3 linked regions of the Lonchura striata genome follow. The protein of the gene in region 1 purifies or fractionates together with the protein of each later gene. This does not show direct contact. Links are inferred from orthologs where the notes say so. Each region holds a gene or a part of one and is shown in the gene's direction. Other genes may lie near its edges.

Region 1 (7,089 bases):
CTCTCCAAGATGGCGGCGCTCATGGGGGGCGTGGCCCCGGCGGCGCTGGCCACGCCCCCTCACTTCCGGCCGGCGCCGGAAGAGGCGGCGGGGCAGACCGGAAGTGCTTGCTGCCCCCTGCTGGCCGACCCCATGCTGGCGCCCGCCTCGGACTCGGAGTAGCCCCGCCCCCTGATGAATATTTATAAATATGTAAAGTGTCTGTGTCGTGGGGCGGGGCCGGGGGCGGGGCTTCGGGGGTTGTTTTTTAATAAAAGGTTGGAAACGCAGCGGGGCGTGCTCTGGTGCCTAATTAAACGGTAATTAGCTGGACTGCTCGTTAGGTAACGGCGGCGGTAACCTCGTCATTAATGAGCCTCCTTATTAACCTCCTTGTTAATTAGCCTCCTCGTTAATTACCCTCCTCATTACCCTCCTTGTTAATTAACCTCCTCGTTAATTACCCTCCTCATTACCCTCCTTGTTAATTACTCTCCTCGTTAATTACCCTCCTAATTACCCTCCTCATTAATTACCCTCCTCATTACCCTCCTCGTTAATTACCCTCCTCGTTAATTACCCTCCTCATTAACCTCCTCGTTAATTACCCTCCTCGTTAATTCACCTCCTCATTACCCTCCTTGTTAATTACCCTCCTCATTAATTACCCTCCTCATTAACCTCGTCATTAATTAACCTCATTAACCTCCTCATTACCCTCCTCGTTAATTACCCTCCTCATTAATTACCCTCCTCATTACCCTCCTCGTTAATTACCCTCCTCATTAATTACCCTCCTCATTAACCTCTTCATTAATTCACCTCCTCATTACCCTCCTCGTTAATTACCCTCCTCGTTAATTACCCTCCTCATTAACCTCTTCATTAATTCACCTCCTCGTTAATTCACCTCCTCATTACCCTCCTTGTTAATTACCCTCCTCATTAATTACCCTCCTCATTACCCTCCTCGTTAATTACCCTCCTCGTTAATTACCCTCCTCATTAACCTCCTCGTTAATTAACCTCCTCATTAATTACCCTCCTCATTAACCTCTTCATTAATTCACCTCCTCGTTAATTCACCTCCTCATTACCCTCCTTGTTAATTACCCTCATTAATTACCCTCCTCATTAACCTCGTCATTAATTAACCTCATTAACCTCCTCATTACCCTCCTTGTTAATTACCCTCATTAATTACCCTCCTCATTACCCTCGTTAATTACCCTCCTCATTAATTACCCTCCTCATTAACCTCTTCATTAATTCACCTCCTCACTACCCTCCTTGTTAATTAACCTCCTCGTTAATTCACCTCCTCATTACCCTCCTTGTTAATTAACCTCCTCGTTAATTCACCTCCTCATTACCCTCCTTGTTAATTACCCTCCTCATTAACCACCTCATTACCCTTCTCATTACCCTCCTCGTTAATTAACCTCTTAATTAACTATCTCATTACCCTCCTCATTAATTAACCTCCTCATTACCCTCCTCATTAATGAACCGACTCATTACCCTCCTCGTTAATGAACCTCCTCATTACCCTCCTCATTAATTAACCTCCTAATTAACCTCCTCATTACCCTCATTAATTAACCTCCTCATTAACCTCATTACGTTTCTCATTAATCTCCCCATTAACCTCCTAATTACCCTCATCATTAATTAACTTCATTAACTTCCTCATTTCCCTCCTTATTACTCTCCTCATTAATTAACCTCCTCATTAATTACCCTCCTCATTACCCCCCTAATTAACCTCCTCATTCTTTAACCTCCTCATTACCCTCCTCATTAATTAACCTCTTTATTAACCTCCTCATTAATTAACCTCCTTATTAACCTCCTCATTACCCTTCTCATTAACCTCCTCATTAATTAAGCTCCTCATTACCCTTCTCATTAACCTCCTCATTAATTAATCTCCTCCCTGGCCTCCCTTCGTTTGTCCCGCCCCCCGATAGCCACCCCAATTAATTAATGAATTAATTGGTAATTAACGATCCCCGCTCTCACGTCTCCCCCTCAGGATTTTCCTGCTTTGTTTTTTTCTTGCTTTGGTTTTTAGTTTTTTTTTTCCGGTTTATTTTTTTGGGTTTTTTGGGGGTTTTGGGGTTTTTTATAAAATTTTTCAGAGTTTTTTTTGTTGGTTTTTTTTGTCCCAGTTTTTTGTGAGGTTTTTTTTTGGAGAGGGGGTTCAAGGTTTTTTTTGTTTGTTTGCTGGGGTTTTTTTGGGTTTTTTTGTAAATTTTTTTAGAGGGTTTTTTTTTCTTTTTTTTTGGCGTTTTTTCAGTTTTTTACGTTTTTTGGGGGTTTTTTAAATTTTTTTTTGTGGGTATTTTTTGGTGTTTTTCGGAGTTTTTAAAGAATTTTTTGGTGGTTTTTTTTTTTTGTTTTCTTTTTTAATTTTTTGGAGGGGTTTTGCTTTTTTTCCTTTTTTTGTTTTTGTTATTTTGGGTTTTTTTAAAGGTGTTTTTTTTGTTTGCTGGGGTTTTTTTTGGGGGGTGTTTTTTGTTAATTTTTTTCAGGCCTTTTTGTTTTTTCTCATCTTTCCACATTTCTTAAGGCTTTTTACATTTTTTCTCATCCTTTTAAATTTTCATAGTTTTTTTTTTTTTTCATTTTTTTTACTTCCTTGGGGTTTCTTAAAAACTTTTCTCGGGCTTTTTTCTTCCATTTTGTTTGGTTATTTTTTATTTGGTGTTTTTTGTTTTTCTTTTGTTTCTTTTTTGGGTTTTTTTTTTTCTTTTTTTCCTTTGGGTATTTTTTTCTGTTTTTTCTGTATTTTTGCCTCGTTTTGGTGCTCTCTGTCCTCTCCCCCTCCATCTCCCTCCCTCTCCCTATTTCCTTCTCCATCTCCCTCTCCATTTCTCTCCCTCTCCTCCTCCTCCATCTCCCATTTCCATCTCTCCCTGTCTCCATCTCCCTCTTCCCATCTCCATTTCCCTCCTTTCTCTCCCTCTCCATCTCCCTCCTCCTCCATCTCCCCCTCCATTTTCCTCTCTCCATCTCCCTCTCCCTCTCTCCTCCTCCCTCTCCATCTCCCTCTCTCCATTTCCTTTCCCCTCCCCTCCCTCCCTCTCCATTTCCTCTCCCTCTCCATTTCTCTCTCTGTCTCCATCTCCCTCATTTCCTTTCCCCTCCATCTCCCTCCCCATCTCCCTCTCCATTTCTCTCCCTCACTCTCTCCTCCTCCATCTCCCTCTCTCCCTCTCCATTTCTCTCTGTCTCCATCTCCCTCATTTCCTTTCCCCTCCATCTCCCTCCCCATCTCCCTCTCCATTTCTCTCCCTCACTCTCTCCTCCTCCATCTCCCTCTCTCCCTCTCCATTTCTCCCTCCCTTTCCTCTCCCTCTCCATTTCTGTCTCCATCTCCCTCTCCCCATTTCCTTTCCGCTCCTCTCCCTCCCCATCTCTCTCTCCCTCCCCATCTCTCTCTCCCTCCCCATCTCTCTCTCCCTCCCCATTTCTCTCCCTCTCCATTTCTCTCCCTCTCCATTTCTCTCCCTCTCCTCCATTTCTCCTCCTCCATTTCTCCCTCCCCATCACGTGACCCCTCTGGCCCCGCCCCTTTTCCCGCCTTTTCCCCTCCGCAGGCGCGAGGGGGGGGCGGTCACGTGACGCCGGCGCCCCGCGCTCCCCTTTTCCCGCCTCTCCGCCGTCACGTGACCCCCCGTTCCTTTTCCCCCCCCTCACCGATTTCACCCGCATTTGTTTGTTTTTTTGTTTGTTTTTTTGTGTGTTTTTTCCCCTTTCCCCCCATTTTCCTCCTCCTTTTTCTCATCCAAACTCCCCCTTTCCCCTCCCCGGCCGCTCTTTTCCCCTCCCTCACCGTCTCCTCCTCCGCCTCCCGCCCTTCGCGCGCGCACCGGAAGCGGAAGTCGCCTCAGGCGGCGCTTCCGGCGGGCGCCGCGGCGCGGCACGGGCGGCAGCGGCAGCGGCGGCGGCGGAGGAGGAGGAGGAGGAGGAGGAGGAGGAGGAGGCGGCCGAGCGGAGGAAGGTCCCGCCCCGCCCCGGCGGTTCCCCGCCCGGCTCCGGCGGGGCCGCGGCCGGGCCGCTGATGGCGCTGAGCCTGGACCGCGAGGCCTTCGCGCGGCGGCTGCGGCGGCTCTACGCCAGCTGGCAGGTGGGGGAGGGGCGGGGGGAGGGGGCTGGGGGGGGGTTGGGGGGAACTTGGGGGATTTCAGGGGGATTTGGGCGGTTTGAGGGGAATTTGGGGGGGTTTGAGGGGAACTTGGGGGATTTCAGGGGCTTTGAGAGAAATTTGGGGGGTTTGAGGGGAACTTGGGGGATTTCAGGGGGATTTGGGCGGTTTGAGGGGGTTTGGGGGGAACTTGGGGGGTTTGGGGGGGATTTGGGGTGGATTTGGGGGGTTTGGGGTAAATTTGGGGCGTTTGAGGGGGTTTGGGGGTAAATTTGGGGAGTTTGAGGGGGGGTTGAGGGAAACTTGGGGGATTTCAGGGGGATTTGGGGGGTTTGGGGTAAATTTGGGGGGGTTGAGGGAAATTTGGGGGATTTGAGGTGAATTTGGGGGCTTTGAGGGGGATTTGAGGGGAATTTGGGGGATTTCAGGGGGTTTGAGGGGAATTTGGGGGATTTGAGGGAAATTTGGGGGATTTGAGGGAAATTTGGGGGATTTGAGGGGGATTTGGGGTGGATTTGGGGGGTTTGGGGTAAATTTGGGGGGTTTGAGGGGGGGTTGAGGGAAATTTGGGGGATTTGAGGGAAATTTGGGAGATTTGAGGGGGTTTGAGGGAAACTTGGGGGGTTTGGGGTAAATTTGGGGGGTTTGGGGTAAATTTGGGGGATTTGGGTGGTTTGGGGTAAATTTGGGGGGCTTGAGGGGGATTTGGGATGAATTTGTGGGATTTGGGGGGTTTGAGGGGAATTTAGGGGGTTTGGGGTGAATTTGGGGGGTTTGGGGTAAATTTAGGGAGTTTGAGGTAAATTTGAGGGGGATTTTGTAGGTTTGGGGTAAATTTGGGGGGCCTGAGGGGGTTTGGGGGTTTTGGGGTGAATTTGGTTTAAATTTTTGGCAGTTTGAGGTGAATTTGGGGGTTTTGGGGTGAATTTGGAGGGGTTGAGGTGAATTCGGGGGATTTGGGGTGAATTTGGGGCATTTGAGGTAAATTTGGGGGGTTTAGGGAAATCTGGGGGGGCTGAGGGAATGTTGAGGGTTTGGAGTGAATTTGGGGTGAATTTTGTGGAATTTGGGGCTGCTGCAGGGGATTTTTGGGGGTGAATTTGGGGCTGGTGTAGGGGATTTTTTGGGGTGAAATTGGGTGAATTTGGAGCTCCTGTAGGGGATTTTTTTGGGTGGATTCAGGGTTCCTGCAGGGGATTTTTTGGGGTGAAATTGGGTGAATTTGGGGTTGCTGATGGAGGATATTTTGGGGTAAATTTGGGGTTTCTGCAGAGGAATTTTTGGGGTGAATTTGGGGCTGCTTCAGGGGAATTTTTTGGGTGAATTTGGGGGTGCCAATTGGGAATTTTTGGGGTGAATTTGGGTGATTTTGGGTCGCCTGCCCCCAGAAAGGCAAAGATGAGTTTGGCGGTGTCAGTGTTGGGGAAATTTTGGGGTAAATTTGGGGTAAATTCGGGGTTGTTGCAGGGATATTTTGGGGTGAATTTGGGGCTGCTGCAGGGGTGATTTTGGGGTGAATTTGGCTGATTTTGGGTCTCCTGCCCCACAGAAAGGCGAGGATGAGTTCGGCGGCGTCGACGCCATCGTGGTGGCCGTGGGCGTGGACGAGGAGATCGTCTACGCCAAGTCCACGGCGCTGCAGGTGGGCAAAAAAACAGAAAATAAACTAAAATCTGGGGGGAAAATCCTGAATTCTGGGAAAAAAACCCAAATCCTGAGGAAAAGCCCGAAATTCCTGAGAAAAACCCCAAAAATCTCAGTGTAAAATCCCAAAATCCTGGGAAAAAAACAAAATCATGAGGAAAAACTTGAAGTTCGTGAGGAAAACTCCAAAAATGTTGGTGAAAAATTTAAAAATCCTGAAATCTTGGGGAAAAAAACAAAATCGTGAGGAAAACCCCAAAATCTGTGTGAAAAATCCCGAAATTCTGGGAAAAAAACCAAAATCATGAGGAAAACCCCGAAATTCCTGAGAAAACCCCCAAAATCCCTTTTGGTTTCATTTTTGGGTACATTTTCTCATTTTTGGGCAAATTCTCCCAGTTTGGGCTGAATTTTATCATTTTTAGGGGCATCCCTTCATTTTTGGGAAAATTTTCTCAATTTTGGATGAATTTTCTCATTTTTTGGGATAAATCCCCCATTTTTTGGGTAAATCTCCCAATTTTAAAGTAAATCCCCCATTTTTGAGGTAAATCCCCCCAATTTTGGGATAAATCCCCCAATTTTGGGATAAATCCCCCATTTTTGGAGTAAATCCCCCATTTTTGGGGTAAAATCCTCCATTTTTGGGATAAATCCCCCCCATTTTGGGGTAAATCCCCCATTTTTGGGGTAAATTCCCCCATTTTAGGATAAATTTCCCCATTTTTGGCTGAATTCTCTCAGTTTTAGCTAGATTTCCTATTTTTGGGGTAAATCCCCCATTTTGGGGCAAATTTCCCCATTTTGGGGTAAATTCCCCCATTTTTGGGGTTTCTCTCCTGCTTTTGGGGACTTTCCCATCATTTTTGTCTGGTTCCTTTCGGGGTTTTCCTCATAAATTTTGGGGATTTTTGTTAATTTTGGGGTTTCTTGGTTCCTTTTTGGGGTTTTTTGTTCCTTTTTGGTTTTTTTTTGTTCCTTTTTGGGTTTTTTTGTTCCTTTTTGGGGTTTCTTGGTTCCATTTTGGGTTTTTTGTTCCTTTTTGGGGTTTTCATGATCCATTTTTGGGTTTCTTTGTCCCTTTTTGGTTTTTTTTGTCCATTTTGGGGTGTCCTTGATCCATTTTGAGGTTTTTTTGTTCCTTTTGGGGTTTTCCTGGTCCATTTTGGGGTTTCTTTTCTTCTTTTTGGGTTTTTTTGGTCTCTTTTGGGGTTTCTTTGTCTCTTTTTGGGTTTCCTTGGTCAGTTTTTGGTGTTTCCCAGCCGTTTATTGGGGTCTCCCTCATGATTTTTGGTGTATTTTGGAGATTTTTGGGG
Region 2 (7,292 bases), on another chromosome or scaffold:
GAGACGGTGACAGCCTGGGCCTGGGGTCCCCTCAGCTTCCTCACCTTCCTGGCGCTGCTGCGGCAGCACCCGGCGCGCTTCGTGCTGCAGCTCATCGTGTCCCTGGGTACGGCGCGGCCACGTCCCTGTCCCCCCAGACTGTCCCTGTCCCCCCAGGCTGTCCCTGTCTCCTGTCCCTGTCCCCCTCAGGCTGTCCCTGTCCCCCCAGGCTGTCCCTGTCCCCCTCAGACTGTCCCCTGTCCCCCTCAGGCTGTCCCTGTCCCCCCAGGCTGTCCCTGTCCCCCTCAGACTGTCCCCTGTCCCCTGTCTCCTGTCCCTGTCCCCCTCAGGCTGTCCCTGTCCCACTCAGACTGTCCCTGTTCCCCCAGACTGTCCCCTGTCTCCTGTCCCTGTCCCCCCCAGGCTGTCCCTGTCCCGCCAGGCTGTCCCTGTCCCCTGTCTCCTGTCCCTGTCCCCCCAGGCTGTCCCTGTCCCGCCAGGCTGTCCCTGTCCCCTGTCTCCTGTCCCTGTCCCCCTCAGGCTGTCCCTGTTCCCCCAGGCTGTCCCCTGTCTCCTGTCCCTGTCCCCCCCAGGCTGTCCCTGTCCCCCCAGGCTGTCCCCTGTCTCCTGTCCCCCCGTGACTGTCCCTGTCCTCCTCAGACTGTCTCCTGTCCCTGTCCCCCCCAGGCTGTCCCTGTCCCCCTCAGACTGTCCCTGTCTGCTGTCTCCTTTCCCTGTCCCCCTCAGAGTGTCCCTGTCCCCTGTCTCCTGTCCCTGTCCCCCTCAGACTGTCCCTGTTCCCTGTTCCTGTCCCCCTCAGGCTGTCCCTGTCCCCTGTCTCCTGTCCCTGTCCTCCTCAGGCTGTCCCCCCTTGACGTTCCCTGTTCCTGTCCCCCTCAAGCTGTCCCCATCCCCTGGCTGTCCCCGTCCCCAGGCTGTCTCCATCTCCAGTCCCTGTCCCGTGTTCCCCCTGACTGTCCCCATGCCCTGACAGTCCCCATGCCCTGCCTGTCCCTGTCCCCGTGCCCTGCCTGTCCCTGTCCCCATGCCCTGCCTGTCCCTGTCCCTCTGTCCCTGTCCCCATCCCCATGCCCTGCCTGTCCCTGTCCCCATCCCCATGCCCTGCCTGTCCCTGTCCCTGTCCCCATGCCCTGCCTGTCCCTGTCCCTGTCCCCCTGCCCTGCCTGTCCCCATGCCCTGCCTGTCCCCATGCCCTGGCTGTCCCTGTCCCCATGCCCTGCCTGTCCCTGTCCCTGTCCCCATGCCCTGCCTGTCTCTGTCCCCATGCCCTGCCTGTCCCTGTCCCTGTCCCCATGTCCTGCCTGTCCCTGTCCCCATGCCCTGCCTGTCCCTGTCCCCCTGCCCTGCCTGTCCCCCTGCCCTGCCTGTCCCCATGCCCTGCCTGTCCCCATGCCCTGACTGTCCCTGTCCCCATGCCCTGCCTGTCCCTGTCCCTCTGTCCCTGTCCCCATCCCCATGCCCTGCCTGTCCCTGTCCCTGTCCCCATGTCCTGCCTGTCCCTGTCCCCATGTCCTGCCTGTCCCTGTCTCTGTCCCCATGTCCTGCCTGTCCCTGTCCCCATCCCCATGTCCTGCCTGTCCCTGTCCCTGTCCCCATGCCCTGCCTGTCCCTGTCCCCATGCCCTGCCTGTCCCCGCCGCAGGCCAGCTCTACGGGGACGTGCTGTACTTCGCCACGGAGGCGCGGGCGGGCTGGGCGCACAGTGACCCGCGGCCCCTCTACTTCTGGGGCTACTTCGTGGGGCTCAACGGGCTCTGGCTGCTGGTGCCCGGCCTGCTGCTCGTGGACGCCGGGCGGCAGCTGGCCCGGGCCCAGCGCGGCCACGACCGGCCCCGCCACAAGGCCCACTGAGACCCCCACCCAGGGGTGAGGGACCCCCACCCAGGGGTGAGGGACCCCGCCACAAGGCCACTGAGACCCCCACCCAGGGGTGAGGGACCCCCACCCAGGGGTGAGGGACCCCGCCACAAGGCCCACTGAGACCCCCACCCAGGGGTGAGGGACCCCCATGGGGTGAGGGACCCCACCATAAGGCCACTGAGACCCCCACCCAGGGGTGAGGGACCCCCACCCAGGGGTGAGGGACCCCCCATGGGGTGAGGGACCCCCCCACAACAGGCCCTGCCACAAGGCCACTGAGACCCCCACTCAGGGGTGAGGGACCCCCCCATGGGGTGAGGGACCTCCCCATGACCGGCCCCGCCACAAAGGCCCACTGAGACCCCCACCCAGGGGTGAGAGACCCCCACCCAGGGGTGAGGGACCCCCCATGACCCGCCCCGCCACAAGGCCACTGAGACCCCCACCCAGGGGTGAGAGACCCCCACCCAGGGGTGAGGGACCCCCATGGGGTGAGGGACCCCACCATAAGGCCACTGAGACCCCCACCCAGGGGTGAGGGAACCCCCCCAGACTGAGGGACCCCCCCTCAGCATCGGGGAACCCCCCCGTGGGAAGGTTCAGCACCGGGAGGGTCCTGGAGATGAATTTTGGGACCCCCCCAAAAAAGCTCAGGGAGAGCGGTCGGAGCCCCCCGTGTTCCCCACGGGGACCTCCCCCTCGTTTTTGGGGGTCTCAGCTTTGTTCTCGGGGTCCCCACCTAAATTTGGGGCATCCCCACCTCGTTTTTGGGGGTCTTCCGTGGGAATGTCCCTCGTTCCTGGGGGGCAGGGATGGGTTTGAATAAAGGAGCTGGAAATGGAGCTCGGGCTCTGCTTTTGGAGGTTTTTTGGGGGGTTCTGATGGGTTTTGGGGGGCTTTGGGGGGGTTCTGGCACATTTTTGGGGTACCTGGAGGGTTTTTGGGGTCTCTTGATGGATTTGGGGTAGTACTGAGGAGTTTTTGGGGAGTCCTGGGGGGGTTTTGGGTGGTCCTGGTGAGTTTTGGGGGTTTCTGGTGAGTTTTTGGGGTTCCTGGGGGTTTTTTGGGGGGTCCTGGGCGGTTTCTGGGGGGTCCTGGGGGGGTCTTGGGGGGTTTTGGGGGGTCCTGGTTAGTTTTGGGGGTTTCTGGTGAGTTTTTGGGGTTCCTGGGGGGGGTCCTGGGGGGTTGGACCACGTGGGAGGGCGGGGAAGGGGCGGGGCTTGTGGGTGATTGACAGATGAGTGGGGTCCTCAAAGGGGCGGGATCCCAGCTGGGCTCCGCCCCTGCCGCGCCTGAGCCAATAGGAAATTAGGTCGTTCGCTGTAGCCAATAAGGTGGCGACGTGGGCGGGGTTTAAGCCCGCGCCAATCAACGCTCGGCGTCTCCTCGCTGCTCCCGCCCAGCGATGATTGACGTGCCGCCACCCAATCAGCGCTCACGTTTACACCGATCCACCCCTCCCCTCTCCGCTCAACCGGCACCTCCACCAACCAATCACCTCCCTCCCCCCTCCCCTCCCTCCCCCAAAACCAACCAATCACCGCCCGTCCCTCCCCGCCTCGCCCAATCCGCGCTCTCCCCTTCCATCCCCATGGCAACGCCCATCCCGCCTCCCCTCACGGAGGCGGAGGAGAAGAAAGGCGGGACTTCCTCCCGGCTGCGGACCAATCGGAGCGCTCCTTCTCCCGCGGCAGCCAATGGCGCGGCGCGCCGCGGGCGAGGCGGAAGCGCGCGCGGGGTCGGAGGTGGCGGCTGTTGATGTTGACACGGCCCCGGCGGCCGCAGCGCCCGCGGCCCCTCAGCGCCGGGGCGGCCCCGGCCCCGCCGCCGCCGCCGCCGCCGCCGCGCCCCGGCCCCGCCGCGCCCCGCGCCGCGCCGCGCGCCCCCGGCCCGCCCCCCGCCCCCGCCCCATGCGCGCCCCGCCATGACGATCCTCCCCAAGAAGAAGCCGGTACCGGCTCCCGACGGCGACGGCGACTCCGGCCCGGACGCGGGGCCCGAGCGCGGAGCGGACGCGGGGCCCGAGCGAGGCCCCGGAGGCGTCGGCGAAGCCGGCGGCCCCGGCGGCGTGGGGGGGCCGCGGCCTCGCGCCTCGCCGCCGCCGCCGCTGCGGGGCTGGGCCGCGGCCGCCGGGTCCCCCCCGCCCGCGGGGCCCGGCGGCGCCGGTAGCGGCGGGCCCGGCTCGGCCGACGGCCCCGCGGCGCTGCTGGGGCTGGAGGCGGCGGCGCTGGGGCTGCCCGAGCCCCGCGGGCCCGGCGGCTGCGGCGGCGGCGGCGGCGGCCCCGGGCACAGCAAGCGGCGGCGGCGCGGCGGGGCCGGGCCCAGCGGCGGCGGCCCCGCGGGACCGGGCCCCGGCGGCATCGCGCTCGGCCTGGGGCTGGGCCCCGGCTGCGGCAGCCCCGGGCCCGACGAGGCGGGCGGCGGCTACAACAGCGAGGACGAGTACGAGGCCGGCAGGGTGGAGATGGACCCGGCCACGGCCGAGCAGGTGCGGGGAGAGCGGCGGGGACAGCGGGGACAGCGGGGGGACAGCGGGAGATACCGGGGGAACAGCGGGAGATACCGGGGGGACAGCGGGGAGGACTGGGGGGACAGCGGGGAGACACCGGGATTAGCGAGGGGACAGCGCGGGGACATCCGGGGACACCGGGGAGGGACCGGGCTACAGGGGAGGGGACCGGGGATACCGGGGGGACACGAGGGAGCACCGGGAGACACCGGGAGACACCGGGGAGCACCGGCGGGGACAGCGCGGGGGCATCTGGGGATACCGGGAGTAGCGAGGGGACACCGGGGGGACACCGGGACGCGGGGGAGGGCCGGGGGGGGACACCGGGAGATACCGGGGGGACAGCGAGGGACACTGGGGGGACACTGGGGAGGACTGGGGGACACTGGGTGACATCAGGGGATGTCGGGGGGACACCGGGAGGACACCGGGGGTCCTGCCGGGGTTCGGTGTCCCCGATGTTGCCGCCCCCCCCCATGCGGGGTTGTCGCCGTCCCCATTTTGCTGCCGTTTGTTCCCAAATTGTCCCCAAATTGTCCCCAAATTGTCCCCGCTTTGGGTGCCCCATCCCCCGCTTTGGGACCCTTCCCTGTCCCCCAAAGTTTTCCCCCCCACCCCCCCCATTCCCAGTGTCCCCTCTCGGTGACACCCCCGGGACCCCCCCATTGGACCCCCACCCCTCATCCCCTGTGGCTGCCTCAGTTTCCCCCTCTCATACCCCCCCCAAATAACCCGGGGGACCCCCCAAATCCTTAAAGGACCCCCCCCATCCCCAAGAACCCCCCTGAACCCCCCGTTTTTGGCCCCCACCCCTCATCCCCTGTGGCTCCCTCAGCTCCCCCCAACTCGTACCCCCCCCAATGACCCAGGGGACCCCCAGGGACCCCCCAAATGGCCCAAGGGACCTCTAAACCCCCCCAGGACCCCCCCCCATCCTTAAGAACCTCCCTGACCCCCCCACCTTTTTCCCCCCATTGTGACCCCACCCCTCATCCCCTGTGGCTCCCTCAGCTCCCCTCATCCTGTGCCCCCCCCAATGACCCGAAGGACCCCCAGGGACCCCCCAAATGCCCCGAGGGACCCCCGAATGTCCCGAGGGCCCCCCGGGACCCCCCCGAGCCCGGCTGTGTCTCCAGCAGGAGCACCGGTTCGAGAAGGCGCTGCGGGAGAAGAAAGGCTTCATCATCAAGCGCATGAAGGAGGATGGGGCCTGCCTGTTCCGGGCCGTGGGTGAGCCCCGAAACCATCCCGAATCCCCCAAAAATCCCCCCAAAAATCCCCCACAGACCCCCCCAAAAATCCCCCCAAAAATCCCTCCAAAAAATCCCCCCCAAAAATCCCCCCAAAAAATCCCCCACAGACCCCCCCAAAAATCCCCCCAAAAATCCCCCCAAAAATCCCCCCAAAAATCCCCCCAAAAATCCCCCACAGACACCCCCAAAAATCCCCCCAAAAATCCCCCCAAAAATCTCCCCAAAAATCCCCCACAGACCCCCCAAAAATCCCCCCCAAAAATCCCCCCAAAAATCCCCCCAAAAATCCCTCCAAAAAATCCCCCCCAAAAATCCCCCCAAAAATCCCCTCAAAAATCCCCCACAGACCCCCCCCAAAAATCCCCCCCAAAAATCCCCTCAAAAATCCCCTCAAAAATCCCCTCAAAAATCCCCCAAAAATCCCCCCCAAAAATCCCCCACAGACCCCCAACTGTCATCTGCATGTCCCCCCAATGTCACCTGCCCGTCCCCCCCCCAATGTCACCTGCCCGTCCCCCCCCAATGTCACCTGCATGTCCCCCCAATGCCCCCTGCCCATCCCCCCCAATGTCACCTGTGTCCCCCCAATGTCACCTCTGTGTCCCCCCAATGTCACCTGTCCGTCCCCCCCAATGTCACCTGTCCATCCCCCCCAATGTCACCTGTGTCCCCCCAATGTCACCTGTGTGTCCCCCCAGCCGATCAGGTGTACGGAGACCAGGACATGCACGAGGTGGTGAGGAAGCACTGCATGGACTACCTGGTGAGGAACTGGGGAACTGGGATGGACTGGGATGGACTGGGAGGGGACTGGGATCGACTGGGGAAAACTGGGATGGAACTGGGAGGGACTGGGGAGGGCAGTGGTGGGCACTGGATGGCACTGGGAGGGAATTGGGATGGACTGGGAGGAACTGGGATGGACTGGGAGGGTGCTCAGAGCCCTGGGGGGAGCAGGCTGCTGTTCCCTCCCCCAGTGTCCCCAGGGCTGTCCCAGTGTGTCCCTCCTCAGCCTGTCCCAAATGTCCGTGTCTCCACTGTCCCCAACGTCCCCGTGTCCCCAGCCTGTCCCTGTGTCCCCAATGTCCCCCTCGTGTCTGTGTCCCCACTGTCCCCAGCCTGTCCCCAGTGTCCCCAGTGTCCCCAGCCTGTCCCCAGTGTCCCCAGTGTCCCCAGTGTCCCCATGTCCCCACTGTCCCCAGCCTGTCCCCAGTGTCCCCAGTGTCCCCATGTCCCCACTGTCCCCAGCCTGTCCCCAGTGTCCCCATGTCCCCAGCTGTCCCCAATGTCCCCAATGTCTTCAGCCTGTCCCCACTGTCCCCAGCCTGTCCTGTGTCCCCAGCCTGTCCCTAATGTCTCCAGCCTGTCCCCGTGTCCACAATGTCCCCAACATCCCTGTGTTCCCAGTGTCCCCAGCTGTCCTGTGTCCCCAATGTCCCCCCCGTGTCCGTGTCCCCAGCCTGTCCCCACTGTCCCCATGTCCCCAATGTCCCCAATGTCCCCACCATCCCCAATGTCCCCACTGTCCCCATGTCCCCACCGTCCCCAGCCTGTCCCCGTGTCCCCACCATCCCCAATGTCCCCACCATCCCCACCGTCCCCACCGTCCCCACCGTCCCCAATGTCCCCACTGTCCCCAGCCTGTCCCCAGTGTCCCCAACGTCCCCCCCG
Region 3 (7,994 bases), on another chromosome or scaffold:
CTTCTCTCCTTTGGATGGAAAACTGTAGACAGGGGAAATATTATCTCATTGTACTGTGAAGGAGAGCCATTTATTAACTGTGGGTACCAAATTTAACTCTGGGTATTTTTAATAGCAGTTCTGATGTGAATAGAAATGCTTGGACACTTTTCCTTGCAATGTCAGGAATCTGCATCACAGAATTATGTCATAGTGTGAGAAACAGCCACTGAAATCAACTACAGGAGATAAAAGTGAAACCAGCTAGCCTAAATTCATGAGAAATTCATTCCAGGGGCACAGATTATATGAAATGGCTCCTTATCTCAGCTATATTTGCAACATGTGAACGCTTTAAAAGAGCCATCCTATTGCCTCCCACGCCTGCCAAGTTATGCAAGGGTGGCTTTTCTCACGTGCTCCGGGGCTCCCAATGCACCCACGCTTTGCTGCCGGGAGCCCCGCGGTGGGGCAATCTCCAAATACCGGGCACTGACTGCTCTGCACGGCAAAATGAGGAGGCCACGCTGAAGCGAGGTGTTGTTTATGGGCTTCTCATTGTTTTCTCGAGCAGGAGAGTCGCTTTTATTTGCTAGGAGCAAGAAGGCAATGAGGCACAGAGGGATGTATGTGCCTGACTGCATTTGGTGTTGCACACTGGCCGTGCAGCAGCCACAAACCATCACGGCATGTGCTTGGGAATGTTAGCTGAAAATCCAGGAACGTGCTCCTTGGATTGTGATCCGAATGTTCTCCTTTCCATTACACCAGCCTCTCTACCACTGCTGTTTCCCTTAACCAAGGCAAATGAGGACATAATGAAGTTCAAGTGATACCAGCTATTGCTTTCTGACTGGTAATTTCCCAGGACTTCTGCAAGCTTCTCCCATCCCAGGTGAAACTGTAATTAAGACTGACCTTTGAAAGCTCCCACTTACAATCCTATCTGCTGGTTCTGCTTAATTTGCTCCCTTGCCTTACATATAAAACTGTGAATAATTGCTGCAGTTTATTAAAGTGCATTTCTTTCAGAGCACTGAGATAATTTAGTTTCAATGCATCCGACAGTACATAATAAGTATGAGTGTTTTGAGCAGGTCATGCTAATGAAAAATGAGTGGGGAGTCGTGTATCTGACTGTTCTTATTTTGTACCAGTGTCACTTGGTTTTAGAGACAGCAGGTTTAGAGGATGACGCCAGTTGGGAATCCTGCACATCAGGCAGGTCTCTGGCTGTGAAAAAAATGTACAGTAGTGATAGAAATATCCAAACCATAGCTCTTACAAATGAGCTGAGACTAAAGACATCACTACAGGCCTTTAAAAATTAGATTTTGGGGTTTAAATGTGTAAATTTTGTAAATGCATTTTGGTTCTTTGTTACCTCTTCACAAACAACATGCGTTTGTTTCATATTCAGATGGAGGGCTTTTGTTGCTTTTTTTTTTTTTCTCCTAAAACATAAACACTAGAAACTGGCCTCTGCCTCTGACAAAAGTAGAGATTTTTACAAAATTATATAAAGGAAAACTAAACAAGTGAACTTGGATCTGTGGAACTGCTAATAAAATTGAATGAGTTGGCAGTGTTGTGCTCTTAAGGCCTGAACTTCTGATATTGTAATCAGAAATACCAAGATATGAGCGTATTTAATTACCAGTTTTGTTTCACTTTCAAACTTGAAGTGTAGCATATAATCAAGTTAAATATAAAGGAGAATCAACTGAAGGAACACAATGAAGATGGCTTCACCTGAGGCTAGGAGCAAGGCTTGGAAAGAGGGCTGTGGAGGGTTTAGGGGTTTGGCTGTCGAGGTTTCTTGCCTTGTGTTGGTCTGTGCAGAAGAGTGTGGACTCAGGCTGGAGCACGGTGTAGGATCCCATCCTGATACAGGACTGCAAAGCTGGCCAGGAAAACAGCACCCACCTCCCTCTCCCAAAATATGCACCCTGAGCACAGTGTGAGGCCCAGTGCACCAGATAAATCAAATCTCACCGTTCACCAGGAAAAAGAACTGAAGGCTTTTCTACTGGATTTGTATCCCGGGTGATTTATTATTTAATTTAAACACATAGTTTCCAGCTGTTTCTTTTTGCAGGCAATCACCTAGGCTACATTAACCCGATGGTGATGTACTGGTCCCAGGGAACCCTGGAGAGAGATCACAGCACTCCGAGGTGTGAACTTCCCCCATTTATCTTGATGGGGTGTGCACAGCCTCGCCAGGGAAGCGGGTCCAAACACGTTAACCCCTTCATTGCCAGCCTCCACCGTGGAAAGGGCTGCTTAGACTCGGAATCTCCCGAGCTGGAAGGGACGCACAAGGATCACTGAGTCCATCTCCCACTTAGGACAACTCCAAGAATTCCCCTGGGCTTAAGAGCGTTGTCCAAATGCTTCTCTGGCAGGTTTGGGGCCACGATCACTTTCACAGGGTTGTAGAGTGGTGTGTCCTATACGAGCCTTCCTCTCGTGGGAGAGCCTCCCGTGTCCCAAGGGATGCCAGCGTGGAAGGGAGTGAGGGAAGTTCAGCCTCCTGGACGGTGGTACTGCAGGTTATAGGCCTGGAGATCATAAGGTTTTTTTTATCATATAGCTCGTTGCAACAGATGGGGCCACACAGGTGTTATGGTTTAATGTGCTTTGAACAAGCTGTGTATTTCCCTGCCTCTTGGCTTCTGACAGCAGAGCAGGGACTCCCTGCAGGCTCCAGGATAACCCTGTGGAAGACTGGGGACAAAAAGGATCGCACGGAGTGGCTGCGTTTGGGAGGCGCCTCTGGGAACACCCAGCCTCCTCCAGCAGGTCGCACAGGTTTGTGTTCAGGTGGGTTTCGAATAGCTGCAGAGAAGGAGGCTCCGTGCAGCAGATGGGAAGCGACTCCTGGGAGACAGCTCGAAGCTGCTGCCTCGGCTGCAGGTTCCCTCCGTGGAGTGAGAGGTGTTTGACGTTCGAGCACAAGGTTTTGCTCGTCACTAATGGCTCTGGCACTGCTACCGCGGCAGTCAGGACCTGAGATACCAAACTGGGAAGCTCCCTGCTCCTTCCGAGCTCTCCCACGCGGCTGTCAGCAGGCTCCTGCCGGCAGCACAGCGCTAAACCTCTCGTGTGCCGGTTTCGGGGGCTCTGCTTTGCGACCAGACGTGCTTGCAAACGCCTGCGAAGGTGGCAGCTGCGGGAAGGGGCCGGGCTGCCTTCCCCTGCACAGGGCTGGCTGCAGCTGCAGCGTGCCGGGGATGGTGGAGGGTCCCTTTCTTGTGGCAGGCACAGCCACCTGAGCAAGGGCTTCTTGGGGAGACAAAGATGTGAGGTTTGAAAGTGAAATTGCTGCTTCAAAGGAAGAGCTTTTAGGAATTTCTAATGTTGGAAGCAGGAGGTGCCAGCCCGCTCCCAGGCTGTCTCAAAAGGCACAGCCCTGCAGCCCTGGATGGCAGCAAGGAGGGGCTCAAACCCAGGGCAAAGCCTGCTTTCACCTCATTCTTGTGAACCAGGGGCACACACCTCTTCCTGATGTCTGAAACAGCTCTTTCATTATGTTTATATTTAAAAATCTAACAGTGACTAAAGCAGTTTGCATAATAAACAGCTCCAGAAATATTTGCCTGCACTCGGTAAAAAAAGGAAGTCCTTAGATCCTCTTCTGAAGACGGTAAGAAAGTGACAGAGTTTTCCCTTTGCAGGATATAAATATGCAGTGCAAATAGGTGGCTGCTGTCACTGCTTACATTTTGATGTATCTCTTCAGATAGCCTGGCAGCGCCAGGTTATTTTAGTGTCAAATCAAAGCTCTGGTTGTGTAAAGAAGCTGAGGAAAGGTACAGTCTGTGTTGCAGCAGAGGATGGAAGCTCCAAGAAGACTGGAGGCAGTCCTGTGAGACACGTACCAGCCATGCATACTAAACCTGCCATTTAGTACACCGACAAGAAAACCCGTTTATAAGCGCTGCTGCGGAACAGAAATAAATGTCTTCAGGTTTGGGCTGAGGAAGGAGGGGTGTTTTTCTAAGCAGGCACGTGCTTCACTATCACATTACCTAAAAGAAAATAAAGCTTTGGCCCCCTTTTACCTTCCTTTTTTTTTTTTTTTTTTTCAGGAGAAAAAATTTAAGACTCTGCTATGCCAGAAGAAAAACCTTGCGGGCTGATCCCTTTTTAATGCTCTTGTATGCAATGCACCAGTGCTGTCCTTGACTAAAAGGAGTCAAGTGAGCCCAAACCTGCCTGATGTGCTTCCCCCCCAGCATCTCCCCGTGGTTCCTGCGGCCTCCGCACTCCAGCCTGGCGCGGTGGCGGGCAGAGACCGGCAGCGAGGGTCAGCCGCACAGATAACACAGCCTGATAACGAGGGGTCTGCGGGACAGGTGCGCGCACCCGCCCGCCTCCCCTCACTAGGACATGCTCTGACTGCTCATGAGCTGGTGCCTGCGGGGGTCTGGCGCGGCGGGACTCCGGGAGAAGCCCCGAGGGCCGCACAGCCGCGGGGGCTGTCACGGAGGGGTTACCGCGGGCAGCAGCGGCAGCGCCGCCCCTCAGAGCGGCCCGCCCGCCATGCGGCCCTGGGGGCGGGGCCTGCGCGGGGGCGGGGCTTGTATGCAAATAACCGGCGGGGCGGAGAGGTAGCGCATGCGCGCTGTGCGCACGGAGCGGCACGAGTTCTTACACAATGCACCGGGCCGGGCGGCCGCGGGGAGGGGGCGGGGCTTAACATGTAAATGAGCGCCCGGTTTTGCCGCGCCATTGGAGGAGGGAGAGGAAAGGGCGGGACCGGATATGTAAAGCAGCGAGCCGGCGTAGCGCATGGTGGAGGGGCAGCGGGTCGGAGCGGTCACGCCGGCGGGGCGTGGCCTGCATGCAAATCATGCCGTCTCTGGGGGCGTGGCTCGCATGCAAATCAGCGCGCGGCCGCTTCCCGCCCCCTGCCCGCCAGGCCGCTCCCCGCCGGTTTAAAAGGCGCCGCGCATGCGCAGAGCGCCGAAAGCGGGACTTAGTCTGTTACACAACCGCGCTGCGCTCCCCGCGTCCCGCTCCGCCCGGCGCTCCTCTGCCCGCCGCTCCTCCCGCTCCGCCCGGCCGCCCGCGCCTCCGGCATGAGCGGGGACCAGCTGCACAACGATTCCCAGGTGAGCGCCCCGTGGCCGCCCGCGGGGCGCGCTCCCGGGGGACCCCCGCCGCGGTGCTCGCATCTCCCCGTGCCGGCCCTGGGCTGGCCGCCTCGCCACCCCCCGTAACCCCAGCGGGGGGACCGTGCCCTGCGGCCGCCCCCATAAGTCTGGGCAGAGCCCTGTCAGCCCAGCTGTCCCCCCGCGGTGGGATGGGGGGCGGCGGGAGCGGGGACCCGCGTGTGACCCCCGGGCTGGGCTGAGAAGGGGAGGGGGCGGCTGCCACGCTTCCCCGGCTCGCTGCCCTTTGGGGGGTCGGGAGGGGTCCGCTCATGAGCTGCGCGGGGGCCGGGGAGGCGCTTCACCGGTTCCCCCATCACCTTCCGCATCGCGCCGGGCTTTTCTCCTTTCGTATTTAATTCCCCTAAAAATGAGGGTGAGGGCGGGGGCGGGGGTCCCCCGGAGCGCCGCGGAGCCGGGCGTGCTGACGGTGTGTCCCTGTGTGCTCTCCCCGCAGATCGAGGCGGATTTCCGAGCGAACGGTGAGTGCGGCCCCGGCGCGCCCCTCGCACAGACATGGCGTCCCAGAGACTAAGTCCCGGCTCCGCGCTCACCGGCCCCATTGTTCCCATCGAGCTGCCAAAAGCGCCCCTTTCCCGCCGGGATCGGCCGCCCCCGACCCCCGCCGCCCCGAGTGGGGGCACCGCAGGGCCCCGATCCGAGCGCAGCGGCTCTGCCGGGGTCGCCTTTGGGCCCCGATTCCTCCCTGGAAAGTCGCCTTGTCGACGGTCGGGACTTAGTCTCTGCGCCATTTTCTTTTTCTCTCTCTCTCTCTCTGTGGCTTTTCTCTCCTTCTCCTCCTCCCCGAGCTGCCGCCGAGCCGCCTCTGCAGAGGCACCGGGCCGCCATCCCCGCCACCAGCCCCTTGTAACCGAGGGGAAAGCAAAGTTTTTAGTTTAAAAAAACCAAAAATTAAAAATCCCAAGTCGCCTTTTTTTTTTTTTTTTTTTTTTTTTAATCGCAGGCTCCCTCCCCCCACTGCTCCCCGTCTCTGTTCCTTTGAGGGAATCCCTTCCTTCCCCTAAAATGAAAGGTGATTGCAACATGTTGCTCTTTAAAAGAAGCTGCTGCATCCATTTTAAGATCAGTCTTATGTTTTTTTCTTGGCTATTTAAGTGATGTGACTTTACCTTGTTAGATGGGTTTTTTAAAATTAAAATAAAGACCTACTTTAAAGAACCTAACAGACCATAGTGTAGACAATTCCAGAAAGGTAGACAGCATCACTTCAGGGACTTTGCAAGCTAACTTCATTTTGTTCAGAAACATTTACAAGCGTCCTGTAGTCTAATATATATATATATTTATATTTATATATATATGTGCTTACATATAATTTTTTGTATATGTATATATTTATATATTAATATATATAAATATATGTCTATATGTATATTTATGTTCATATATGTATATATACATACAATATTGTATTTTCTAATCAGCCTGATGACTGCTAATTTTTTCTGATAATTTATTCATTTTTATAGGAAGCAAGCTGATTGCAAGCCTGCCTCACTTGATAGTTGTCAAATTGAAGGGCTTAAGTAGGGTGAAGGGGAGTTGAGGGTATACAACCAACCTTTGTGTGTGTGCGTGTTTTACTGTCACTATTTGGGATATGTGAGGAGCTCTGAGCTGTCCCCTGACTGCTGAGATGGTAGAGGACAAAAATGTTGGTTGAAAATATCTGCTTGACTTATAGTTACACTAATTTTTAGAATGCTTTTCTGGATGATGTCCACGTGCCTGGTTGCCTTGTAGGCTACTGCATGTAAATATTTACAGATCTACGCTTGCGAGCACCTTTTCTTCTGTCAGTTCATTGGAATGTGATTGTGTGTGTGCAGCAGGGAGCAGACAGTGTCAAATATGCATGTTTTGAACTCTCTATTTCCATTCTGAATTTATAGCTGGGCTCTATGAATAATTCTTATCAGGAAAAAAGGGGTGCAGTGGATTTCCCAAGATGTACGGGTGTAACTCTTGAAGCAATTTAAATATAAGCATATATAGGAATGCTTGTAGCCTTCTTGTGCTGGAAAATACTTGCTTCATCTAAAGATCATCTTGATTTAGGGAAAAATACTCCTTGGTAAGCTTTAGTTATTTAGTTCTGTTGTACATAGAGGAAACGATGTATATTTCACCTTTTGACTCCATCTTCCAGTGAACCCTTCAGAGGGATTTTTCTCCTCTATTGTGACCATGTGCTGTTTTATTCTTCTAAGAGTTTTAGTCATAGAGCTCTTGAAACTCCTGTGGTTTTTATTTCTACCATGTGTTGAAGGAATTCAATACAGAAATTCAAAGTAAGACACCTTGATGAAAAAACGGAATTCCTGGTAAATCAAGTGCACCCAACAAATCCATACCAGTGTAGGCATCAGCACCCTTTCCCTCCTATTGTAATTATTTGTGGCAGTCATGTAACATCATTGTCATTAATCAGAGGCCCCAAAACCCTTTTCAGCACTGGAAGGTACGTGTAACCCTGTTAGTCTTGCTGTGGGAATAATGCTGAATAGACACTGGACTCTTTGACCTTGTGACCACCCCAGATCTCCCTGAAAATCTGTCACCTCTGCTTGCTCTGAGCCTTGTTTCCTCTGCACAGGAGCTCTTTGCACTGGTGCATCAGGAATCGTCACGCACGGATGTGAGAACAGAGGTTCTCCTTCAGGCAGAGACCTGAGGCTCTTGCTCTTATTTTCTTATTTTCATCTTATTTAATGGCAAAGATTAGGAGTGGGTAGTAGGAATCCCAAATGTGCTGGTTCCCCCCACCCCCCCCCCCAAGATATTTAGAATTGGTTTGTACTTTGATTATTGTCAGGCAGCGATAAACAGTAAAGC

What was found.
Region 2: the proteins of SUPT16H (region 1) and OTUD5 purify together in Homo sapiens (affinity purification with mass spectrometry; 3 studies listed by BioGRID, with this or other methods). This does not show direct contact. The link is inferred for Lonchura striata from reciprocal best matches to the Homo sapiens genes SUPT16H and OTUD5.
Region 3: the proteins of SUPT16H (region 1) and TOP1 fractionate together in Homo sapiens (co-fractionation; 3 studies listed by BioGRID and IntAct, with this or other methods). This does not show direct contact. The link is inferred for Lonchura striata from reciprocal best matches to the Homo sapiens genes SUPT16H and TOP1.

What each region holds. Positions count from the first base shown.
Region 1 is NC_134641.1:1,210,441-1,217,529, reverse strand, and holds the start of SUPT16H (FACT complex subunit SPT16), read left to right. Parts: upstream 1-3,995; 5' UTR 3,996-4,045; coding exon 4,046-4,111; intron 4,112-5,678; coding exon 5,679-5,771; intron 5,772-7,089. Other genes in the region: chromodomain-helicase-DNA-binding protein 8, read left to right, coding at 1-162. UniProt on the Homo sapiens protein: Component of the FACT complex, a general chromatin factor that acts to reorganize nucleosomes. The FACT complex is involved in multiple processes that require DNA as a template such as mRNA elongation, DNA replication and DNA repair.
Region 2 is NC_134638.1:1,036,033-1,043,324, forward strand, and holds the start of OTUD5 (OTU domain-containing protein 5), read left to right. Parts: upstream 1-4,199; 5' UTR 4,200-4,323; coding exon 4,324-4,347; intron 4,348-5,504; coding exon 5,505-5,598; intron 5,599-6,319; coding exon 6,320-6,384; intron 6,385-7,292. Other genes in the region: EBP (3-beta-hydroxysteroid-Delta(8),Delta(7)-isomerase), read left to right, coding at 1-106, 1,642-1,850. UniProt on the Homo sapiens protein: Deubiquitinating enzyme that functions as a negative regulator of the innate immune system. Has peptidase activity towards 'Lys-48'- and 'Lys-63'-linked polyubiquitin chains. Can also cleave 'Lys-11'-linked ubiquitin chains (in vitro).
Region 3 is NC_134619.1:9,817,462-9,825,455, reverse strand, and holds the start of TOP1 (DNA topoisomerase 1), read left to right. Parts: upstream 1-4,934; 5' UTR 4,935-5,066; coding exon 5,067-5,099; intron 5,100-5,595; coding exon 5,596-5,620; intron 5,621-7,994. UniProt on the Homo sapiens protein: Releases the supercoiling and torsional tension of DNA introduced during the DNA replication and transcription by transiently cleaving and rejoining one strand of the DNA duplex.